Oryzias latipes: one gene and its partner. The protein of the gene in region 2 purifies or fractionates together with the protein of the main gene of each other region. This does not show direct contact. Links are inferred from orthologs where the notes say so. Each region holds a gene or a part of one and is shown on either strand. Other genes may lie near its edges.

Region 1 (4,491 bases), on a different chromosome or scaffold from region 2:
TTCCTCTTCTGGTTGGCAATACTGTGGAACAGGTCAGCGAGGCAAGTGAGCAGGTTCTCCTTCCGTCGAGGCTGACTGCGGTAAGCCAGGATCTTCTCCCGGAACGGCCGGCAGAAGTAAAGGGCCTGCAGCACCGAGTTGCAGTAGCAGGTGTTCCCAAACTAAAAACACAAATAAATAATGTACAATAACCCAAAAATAATAACTGTCAAAAATCTCATGAATTAAAAACAAAAAAATGTGCTAATAAAAAAGCTGCTGAGAGCTGCTTAAGAGTATCATTTAAATTAGGTGAAACAGTTTTAAATAAATAAAGTTTTGCACTTCAAATCAGTCACTTACATTGACCAGACCAAAGTAGTGCTCGTTGACCGGAAACTGCTCAGATCCAATCTCTTTCTCCAGAGCAGAGGCATTGGCGCCCTAAAACACCACAACATACAAGCACCAAGAGTCACCTTACCTTTGTTAAAATAACACAAACACATTAGTAACACTTTTACATGCAACCATGATTTTAAAGGTCACATTTTGGTCAAAAGGTTAAAGTTTTGAGGCTCAAAAGGACAGATTTTAAAAATATTTTTGTCATTTCAAGAATACAATCACCATCATCATATATGTTTTTCAGCTCATGAGCCAGCATCTAATCTTGTTACAAAGAGTTATTTAATTAAAACTGATTTTCGACCCTGTTTGGGTGAATGTATCAGACCGAGCATTGAAAGTAAATAGATTTTGAACATTATTTTGAAGCTATTTAAGTGAAACTTAAAAACTAGTCACCATAACTTGTTAACATTTAATAAGCGATAAACTGAGATTAGGTTTTTTCTAGGGGGGTTGTTACCTCTAAAGCCCATGTCAACTTGGAAAAAACTATTAGGAATCCTTTTATTTAAAGGAATTGGTGCCAAGTTGCTTCCAAATCTATGTGCACCAATCAAATGCATCTGAACTATTTTTAAACTCAAATACTCAGTCTGCACAACAACTTGTTAAAAAATAAATAAATAGAGAGAGAGACTGAATAAGAAGATAATTTTTATGTTATCCAAAACAAAATGTAGGTAGCGGTCCACAGAGTAACAATTACAATTTCATCAAAGCTAAATTGTTTTTACTTAATAGATTTGTTTTCTTTCATTTTTTTAGACTATTAAAACATTCCTGCATAATATGGTCCCAGATGAGTGGAAGAGTGAGGGAGAGAGGGAAGGAAGGCAGGAAGGGGTGGAGGGAGGGATGAATGTTGGATTTCCACAAGTACTTATTCATAATCCATAAGTCAGTCCATCATTTTCATCGATAACAACTTCCATTCTTCTCAGTAGGTAAAATGGTGAGGTCTGATAACGATGTTGGATGAAAAAGTCCGTCTTAGAGTCTTCACTTTGGTTCATCCCAAAGGATGGTTAAGGAGAGGCCTCTGTGCAGACTAGTTCTTCCACACCAAAGACGAGGGTCTTTGTGGATCTTCCTTTGTGTACTGGTACACAGTCATATTGAAACAGCAACAAAAACATCCTAAACCTATCCCCCCAAAGACAGTTGACAGTATCGAAATGTATTCATAGTTTCTTTCACTACAACAAAGGATCCAAGCCCAGTTTCAGAAAAACAAACATAATCCTTCCTTCAACAAACTTCACATTTAGCACAGTGCAGTCAGACCAACATCAAACCCAAACACATCCATGTGATTGCTACATGGAAAACCTGAATTTCTTACTCCAAAGAACACATCTCAACTGCTTTACGGTCTGGTGATGTTATGCTTTTATACCAATGAATCAGATCTTAAGTGCAGAAATTTCCATGTCATGTGTCTCATGATCTGCTCACTCGAAGCCCACATAAACTGACGGACACTTTGTGGTTAAGCTGATGTCCCTCCAACTATGGTATGAAATCACTGACTTGTTGTAGGTGGGATCCTAATACAATCCCACCCTGGAATTCACTGAGCTCCAGAGTGCAGCCCATCATTTCACAGGTGTTTGTATAAACAGCCTCCATTCCTGAATTCTATTTATTTTTAGTACTTTTTGCAACAAAACGTGGCACCATTATATATATAATAAACAAGCTTTCAGTTAGTATAACGGTTATTTTCGAGGAGGATGCTGTCAACTTCTGAGGGAAAAAGCACTTCTAGAGATGTAATCCTAGTATCACCACTGTCGAGCAAACTGTCTGAAGAACAACTGCGCAGCTAATAATCTGTGTCGTCATTGCCAACACTAAAACTGTTATTTGATAGTAGTTGACGCTGCAGCATCACTACAATGTTCAACGCTTCCCTCAAAACACAGTCCGGACGTGTTTTTATCGGAAGTTTTCCTCAATCCAGTTGCTGGGAAGCTAAACATTGCTTTAGCTTCACATTAGCAAGCTAGCTTTGAACCCCTACAGCAGGTGCACAGTCACTACAACCAAATAGGGCGTGTAAATATGAAAATAATAATAATGGAGCATTAACTTTAAGTAAATAAATAACAAATATAAACATTCAAGGATTTGCGGCAAAAGCGAAGAGGCTCAGAAGGAGGAGGGTGGCTGCTCGGTTAGCATCAGAAACCTCCTCGGCTAGCACGGGAATCCGATTTTCACTGTTTTCATTTAAAATTCCGAGATTTAAATCTCAAATAACATAGTACTGTCAGTTTCTACATAGGCAAAAAGTCCTAATAATCACTATGTAAAACTGCCGTCCACTTACCATGGTACAAAAAGAGGCAAATTTGGAAACTGTCATTAGGATTTCCATTCGGCTAGCGCCATCTTCCACAACACCGCCGCGCGCTGACAAGACTGCTTAGAGAGGACGAAATACTGCTGAGCTCGCGGAGGACGGAGCTGGACGCGAGAGCACTCACCGCACACTACTTCCGGTTTCGCTTCTGCAGTCAGCCCTCTTTGATTAACTCAATGTACTTTCCGAAACTGCCATCTGTGTGAATGATTAATAGATTTATCAGAAAATATTTAAATTGATTATGTGAACAACATAATATCGTATATTTATTTTATAATGGCAGTTATACGAGTTGAAGAAATTAGATTGGTAAATCTAATTACTCTTAATCACAAATACCACCATTAGCTTGTACGTACAGAACATGACACATTGAAACTATACAATATTGAATTTGTCAAATTATTTAAATTAATTGCCTAGATGTGATCCTATATAATTCCCCTCCAGTTATATTTTACCTAGCTTTTTTTTCTTTACCTAAATTATCTTCATACTGTTCTTAATTTCTGATCCCTGTTGAAGTGCAGGTCATTGAAAAAAATCAAAAATTATTAAAGAATCAAATGACAAAGACGAAATACATATTAATTACGTAAGTAGACATGCCATTATTACAGAAATCAGTATAATATGTCCAAATCAAGTGCCAAAAATAAGTGAATATTGTTAGTCATTAGAAAATTACTGTCACCACAAGAGGGCACAATTCAGGTCTTTTGTGTCACTGTCCCAAGTGCGGGTAAATTCAGAAGGTTGTGTCAAGAGTGGCATTCGATGTAAACTAAATCGAACAAATCATGAACCAAACTTTGACTCCAGATAATTTTTGGTCTGGGTTAACACTGACCGCCACCAATGCTACTGGTGCCAGTGGAGATTAGACTTCTGTACAAGGAAGAAGCCATGTTAGTTGGCAACAAAACCAAAAGAAAGAGATGTGTTGGACTTGGAGTGTGGAACTTTGAATGTAGGGATTTTGACAGTGACAACTACACAGTTGAATGACATGTTGGAAAAAAGAAAGGTGGATATCCTGCATATTCAAGAGAATAGATGGAAACGAGAAAGGGTAATAAATTAGGAGCAGGTTCCAGCTGTTTTATCACAATGTGGTTGGAAAGAGGAATGTAGTAGGAGTGATCCTGAAGGGGGAGTTCATCAAAAATATTCAAGGGGAGAAAAGAGTCTGATAGGAGTGTAACATTGGGTAACAGGTGACAGCTAAAGTGATCTGGGAGATTGAGAGGAAGGTATTTGTGTTGTATGGAATGAGGAAAAGAGATAAGGAGACTTGGTGGTGGAAGGAAGAAGTTCAGGAATGTGTTAAGAGGAAAAGGTTTTCAAAGAAAAAGTAAAATGCTTAGAGGACAAAAGAGAGCAGACGGCAGTACAGTGAGATGCATCACATGGTGAAGGTGGAGAGGGCAAAGATTAAACAAAGGGCAAATAAGGACCTGCATGACAGGTTGGACATAAGGAGGGAGTTTGTATCAGTTAAGGCAGACAACAGAGAAGGATGTGCAGCATGGTAGGTTGATCAAGAACAGCAATGGAAATGTGTTGACAGGTTCCAAAAGTGCAAAGGAAAAGATGGAAGGAGAACTTTGAAGAGCTGATAAATGAGGAAAATGTTAGAGAGCCCGGTGGAAGTGACACTGAGGTAAGAAAATGATTGAAGAGAAAGAATAGTGGAAAGACGTCCAGGTGTCCAAGTGAACATTTGTTAGTAA
Region 2 (4,404 bases):
ATCTTCCTGAAAGAAGAGCCAATCGAATCCATGTGTTTCATGCAGAGGAAGTCCTAAATTTTCTCAGCAGACCACATCAGGCTCCTCGCAGCTTCAGCTATGGTCATCTGATTCGCTGCCACTTTGCTGTTGTGGTGATGAGGTGGCCCTTGTCGCTCCCCCCTCATTCTGCTGCTGCTGTTTGGAGGAGCTGGACAAGTCGATGGCCACCTCCTCTTCCTCCGTGTCTTCCTCCAGCAGCCTTTCGTCCTCCTCCGTGTCCCGGGCCTTGCCAGCAGTGCTGTGCCGCTCTGAGGCGTCGCAGAACGACTCAGATCGAGTGGAGTCTAAGGACGGGGGACTGGGACACTTCTTGGCCATTTCAAGAGACTTCTTGTGCATTCCTGTGGGGGTGGAGTCAGAACAGATTCAGTCCGGTCTGCCATACCTCTGAATATAATATGCTTGTTTGTTGGACACAGCTGTTATTTATTGCTCTATGCAGTCAAGATAACAAAGGCAGATGCAAGATCTGCAGTAAGTCCTCAGGTCAACTGAGTGCATGCTGCAGTGTGCGTGTGTATTGATGCCGGTGTGGTGCGTGTGCGTGGCACTGACGTGCATGCGGCTCACCGAGCAGCCAGGGGGCGCAGGATCCCATCATGCCGTTCTTGGCTGAGTTGAGGATGGACTCGGGGAGCGGGATGGAGTGTCGCACCATGGCGCCATACAGACCGTATTCTGCCATGACACTGCTGCGTCCCCAGCATTTCTCACGCTTTCGCCACTTTGCCCGCCGGTTTTGGAACCAGACCTAAAACACAAAGCAGAATCAGAACATCCACGCATTAATAAGTGGGGCTGGAACAACACCCCCCACACACAGATTCTGATTAACCCCAAATGCCCATGCAAAATGACACAGAGGGTGTCCCATAATGCACTGGGCTCCAGCATTCACTGGCATCTGTGTTTCTGACTGTATTTTAAACTATGTATGCAATATTCATGCTGTATGTGCAATATCCATTCTAATGTGGAATACCCACTCGTGCAATATTCACCCCACTCTACTGTACAGTATTTATGTATTTATGCCTTATATAGCTCCTTATTCCTATTTTATTTTATTCTACCTTTTTATATTGTTGGACGAGAGTTGCTGGAAAAAATTTCATTGTGCACTGCAGAATGATAATAAAAGATTCTGATTCTGATTCTGTGATTGTTGGATGGCTGATCTCCCTGCTTTTAGCTTTTGTCAGGAGAGAGGGATGTGCGTAGAACGATCATTAAACAAGCACACATCTGTGTTTCAGCTGGATTCCGATGAAACTAAAATCCCATTCAGTGCTATCCATAACAACCTAGAACCTTTGCTGGGTTCTCTGGATTCTGTTCTGGTTCAGTACTGTATACATGACCCAGCTCTGATCTCTGGTTAGGGCCTGACCTGGATTCGGTCCTCAGGCAGCTCGGTCTTCATGGCCAGCATCTCTCTAGCATACACATCTGGGTAGTGCGCCTCCTGAAAGGCCTTCTCCAGCTCCTCCAGTTGGTGGGAGGTGAAAACAGTCCTGTAGAAAGCAGAGTGAGGTTCAGTGGAGGAATTAGACCTAAAGAAGATCAAATGGACTAGACTAGAGTCATGCCTGACTTCCATTAAAAAAACAAATATTTTAATTTGTCATCTCTAATTTTCCCAAAAAAAATTATGAGGGGCAAAAAATGTACAACAATAATAGTTATTATTAAAAATAGTTACTATTATTATTGTTTTTTCCGCATTTTAAATTATTGTTACTAAAAGTGTTTTGTTTAAAATAAATGTCTTATATCTGTTTTATGCAGTAAAAAGTTTATTTGTAAAAAATAAATAAAAAAAGGTTAATGATGCAAAGCTTAATGATCCCTAAACAGGTCTACCAAATTTTAAAATTACCAATTCGTTTTCGATTTTGATCATTTGTTAATTAACTATTTCTAAAAGTAGCTTTTATGTAACTTTAAATAAAACGTAGTAAATAAGCGAAATTGTAGTTTTATTAGGTCGAAGACAAAACTTGTCGTTTATTATCTCTGTGAAAATTTTCAATATATTTTAATGAGGAAAAAAGAATAAACAATTTCCCAGATGTTTCTCTGTATCTGTTTTTTAGATATTACTTAATCGAAGGCATCTGGATCTCAAAATTGGAGAGGAGTCCCCTCCTTCCTCACCTGTGTCTCCTCTTCTTCCTCTTCTGCGAATTTCCGGAACTTTTGGATTCGTTTCGGTCCGACAGACACTCTTCATCTATGGGGCAGAACAGTCATCGTCATCATCGGTATCAGCTCATCTGTTCCAAAGCAGCATAAACGAAGAGAACCGAAAAAGGCCGAACCAGCCCGACCAACAGGGAGCGGTTCGGCCTCGATTTTCTTTTTATTATTAAAAATAAAATATTTGCTGTTTGTTTGGCAATAGTCCTCTTTTTAAGGGTAAATCACACATGAACCGGGCCGTTCCGTACCGGAGTATACGTCTCTCTGGGCCTCCAGGTTCTGCAGGTAGTGGCCGTCGGTGCGGGCCTGCAGCAGCGGCAGGTGTCCCGGCAGGAAGCAGGGCGCCCCCGCGGGCTGCTGCGCCGCCAGGCTGCACAGGAAGCCGAGGCCCAGTGGCAGGGAGCCTCCCGGGAACGAGAACCCACCGAGCCCGCCGCCTGAACCCTGCGGCTCCGGCCCGGGGCCCGCCGATGACAGACCCGAGCCCGGATGCCCGCCGGGCTGTTGCCGCGCCTGCAGGTCCGACTCCAGGCCCAGCAGGTCGGTGATGGCGAAGCCCTTGGAGCGGAACCCGGAGCCGTGAAGTCGAGACTTGTCGATGCCGAAACCCGGGGCCAGCATCTTCACCCGGGGCTTCTCGTCGCTGAGCTCCTCCCGACCCGTCATGTTCCTGAGGAGGCAAAGCGAACTCAGAGCGGGACCGGCCGGGCGGCGGGTCCATTTATGCGGCCAGACCCCGAGGGATCACAGCGGCAGCCAATCCCTGCGGGAGGAGGGGGGGGGGTGACCCTCTCCCGCCTTTCTCCTTCAATCCCAGAGGATTAATTGCCACCAATTTCCCTTCAATCCGATCTGGATTTTGGGTCGGGGGGGCTGTGATTTCTGCTGCTTATCTTTGATCTCCACCAATCATCATGGGTGTCACGGGCGCAGAAACAAACACAGGCACGCGCCTATTAGCAGAAAGGCTTAAATGATTTTTGGATGGGGGGGGGGGGGGCATGAAAGTGTGCGCGAGCGAGGCGTCAAGTTTGATTAAATAAAGGAGTCCATCAGATCACCAAGGACTCAAGCGGTTCAACGCGACAGGTTGGCTGATCCTGGCCTCACCACATCTAAATTATGGGATGGATTTTTCCATAACTGATATACGTGTTTTGATCCTTAGTTCCAGTTCAAAGATGATGAGGATGAGAAATGTCTTCCTCTTCAGACAAAAAAAAAACCCAGATTCTTTAAATTTGCTGTAATTATCTCTGATAAGCAGATTTCTGAAAACTAATTGCTTTTTTTTAACCAGTTGACCATTTTTTTTACCGGTTTACTCTCTCTGACACACGCGCACGAGCACAGAGTGCAGTCAATCTGCAGGGATTAAACCACAATTTGGCCCTAATTTGAGCGCGAACAGCTTCCTGTCCTCTGAGAAACAAGCAGCTGATTTCCATTTGGGAGGAGGGGGTGATGGAGGGTGGATGAAGATTTTCTCTTTTCGCTGTTTCGTTCTGTTCTTTTTGATGATCTCATTATTGGGTCTTCTTTTCACGATCACCTGTTTGTTCATTTTTTTTAAAGTGTTCTAAGAAGCAAATATGAATTTTTTTCCCTCTATTTTCCAGAGGGTCACTAAAATCGGCGACAGCACAAAATAGTTTGGCTTTTTCATTCGTTTTGTCAATGGAGAAAAATGAAATATTGACTCTACTCTATAATCAGAAAGCAGATAATTTGATACATCAAATGAAATATGTTGACATCTCCAGTTTAAAGCTTCAGAGTTAAGTGAAGAAGTTTTTGTTTTACTTTTTCTGGTCATTTTTTTTTTCTATTTTAGTGTCATTTTTAAGAATATTTTTGGCAAATCAATATTTTTATTGATTTTCAAATATAACAAATATAAAATATCTTTTTGCATTTTTTTCTTTTTCCTTTGCAGTGATTCGGGTTTTGCATTGTTGATGGTTAGCTGTGGTGGTGGAAGCATGCCAGTCACTCATCTGCTATTCATCACTTTTGTCTGTGGCTTTTACAAAATAAAAGAATGTTATTTTTTACTTTTGCTTCTTTATGTGTCTTTATTGATGTCAATACAATATTTTGAATAGCCTTTTATTAAAAATTATTCTTAAATGTTTCATTTTATTACATATGATTTTCACT

Evidence for each region.
Region 1: the proteins of visual system homeobox 1 (region 2) and usp12 purify together in Homo sapiens (affinity purification with mass spectrometry; 3 studies listed by BioGRID and IntAct, counting the BioPlex papers as one, with this or other methods). This does not show direct contact. The link is inferred for Oryzias latipes from reciprocal best matches to the Homo sapiens genes VSX1 and USP12.

The regions. Positions count from the first base shown.
Region 1 is NC_019878.2:17,502,133-17,506,623, reverse strand, and holds the start of usp12 (ubiquitin carboxyl-terminal hydrolase 12), read right to left. Parts: upstream 2,859-4,491; 5' UTR 2,771-2,858; coding exon 2,723-2,770; intron 424-2,722; coding exon 343-423; intron 162-342; coding exon 1-161. UniProt on the Homo sapiens protein: Deubiquitinating enzyme that plays various roles in the regulation of the immune response and inflammation.
Region 2 is NC_019873.2:12,758,001-12,762,404, reverse strand, and holds the start of visual system homeobox 1, read right to left. Parts: upstream 2,961-4,404; 5' UTR 2,911-2,960; coding exon 2,493-2,910; intron 2,276-2,492; coding exon 2,200-2,275; intron 1,557-2,199; coding exon 1,433-1,556; intron 794-1,432; coding exon 598-793; intron 384-597; coding exon 94-383; 3' UTR 1-93. UniProt on the Homo sapiens protein: Binds to the 37-bp core of the locus control region (LCR) of the red/green visual pigment gene cluster. May regulate the activity of the LCR and the cone opsin genes at earlier stages of development. Dispensable in early retinal development.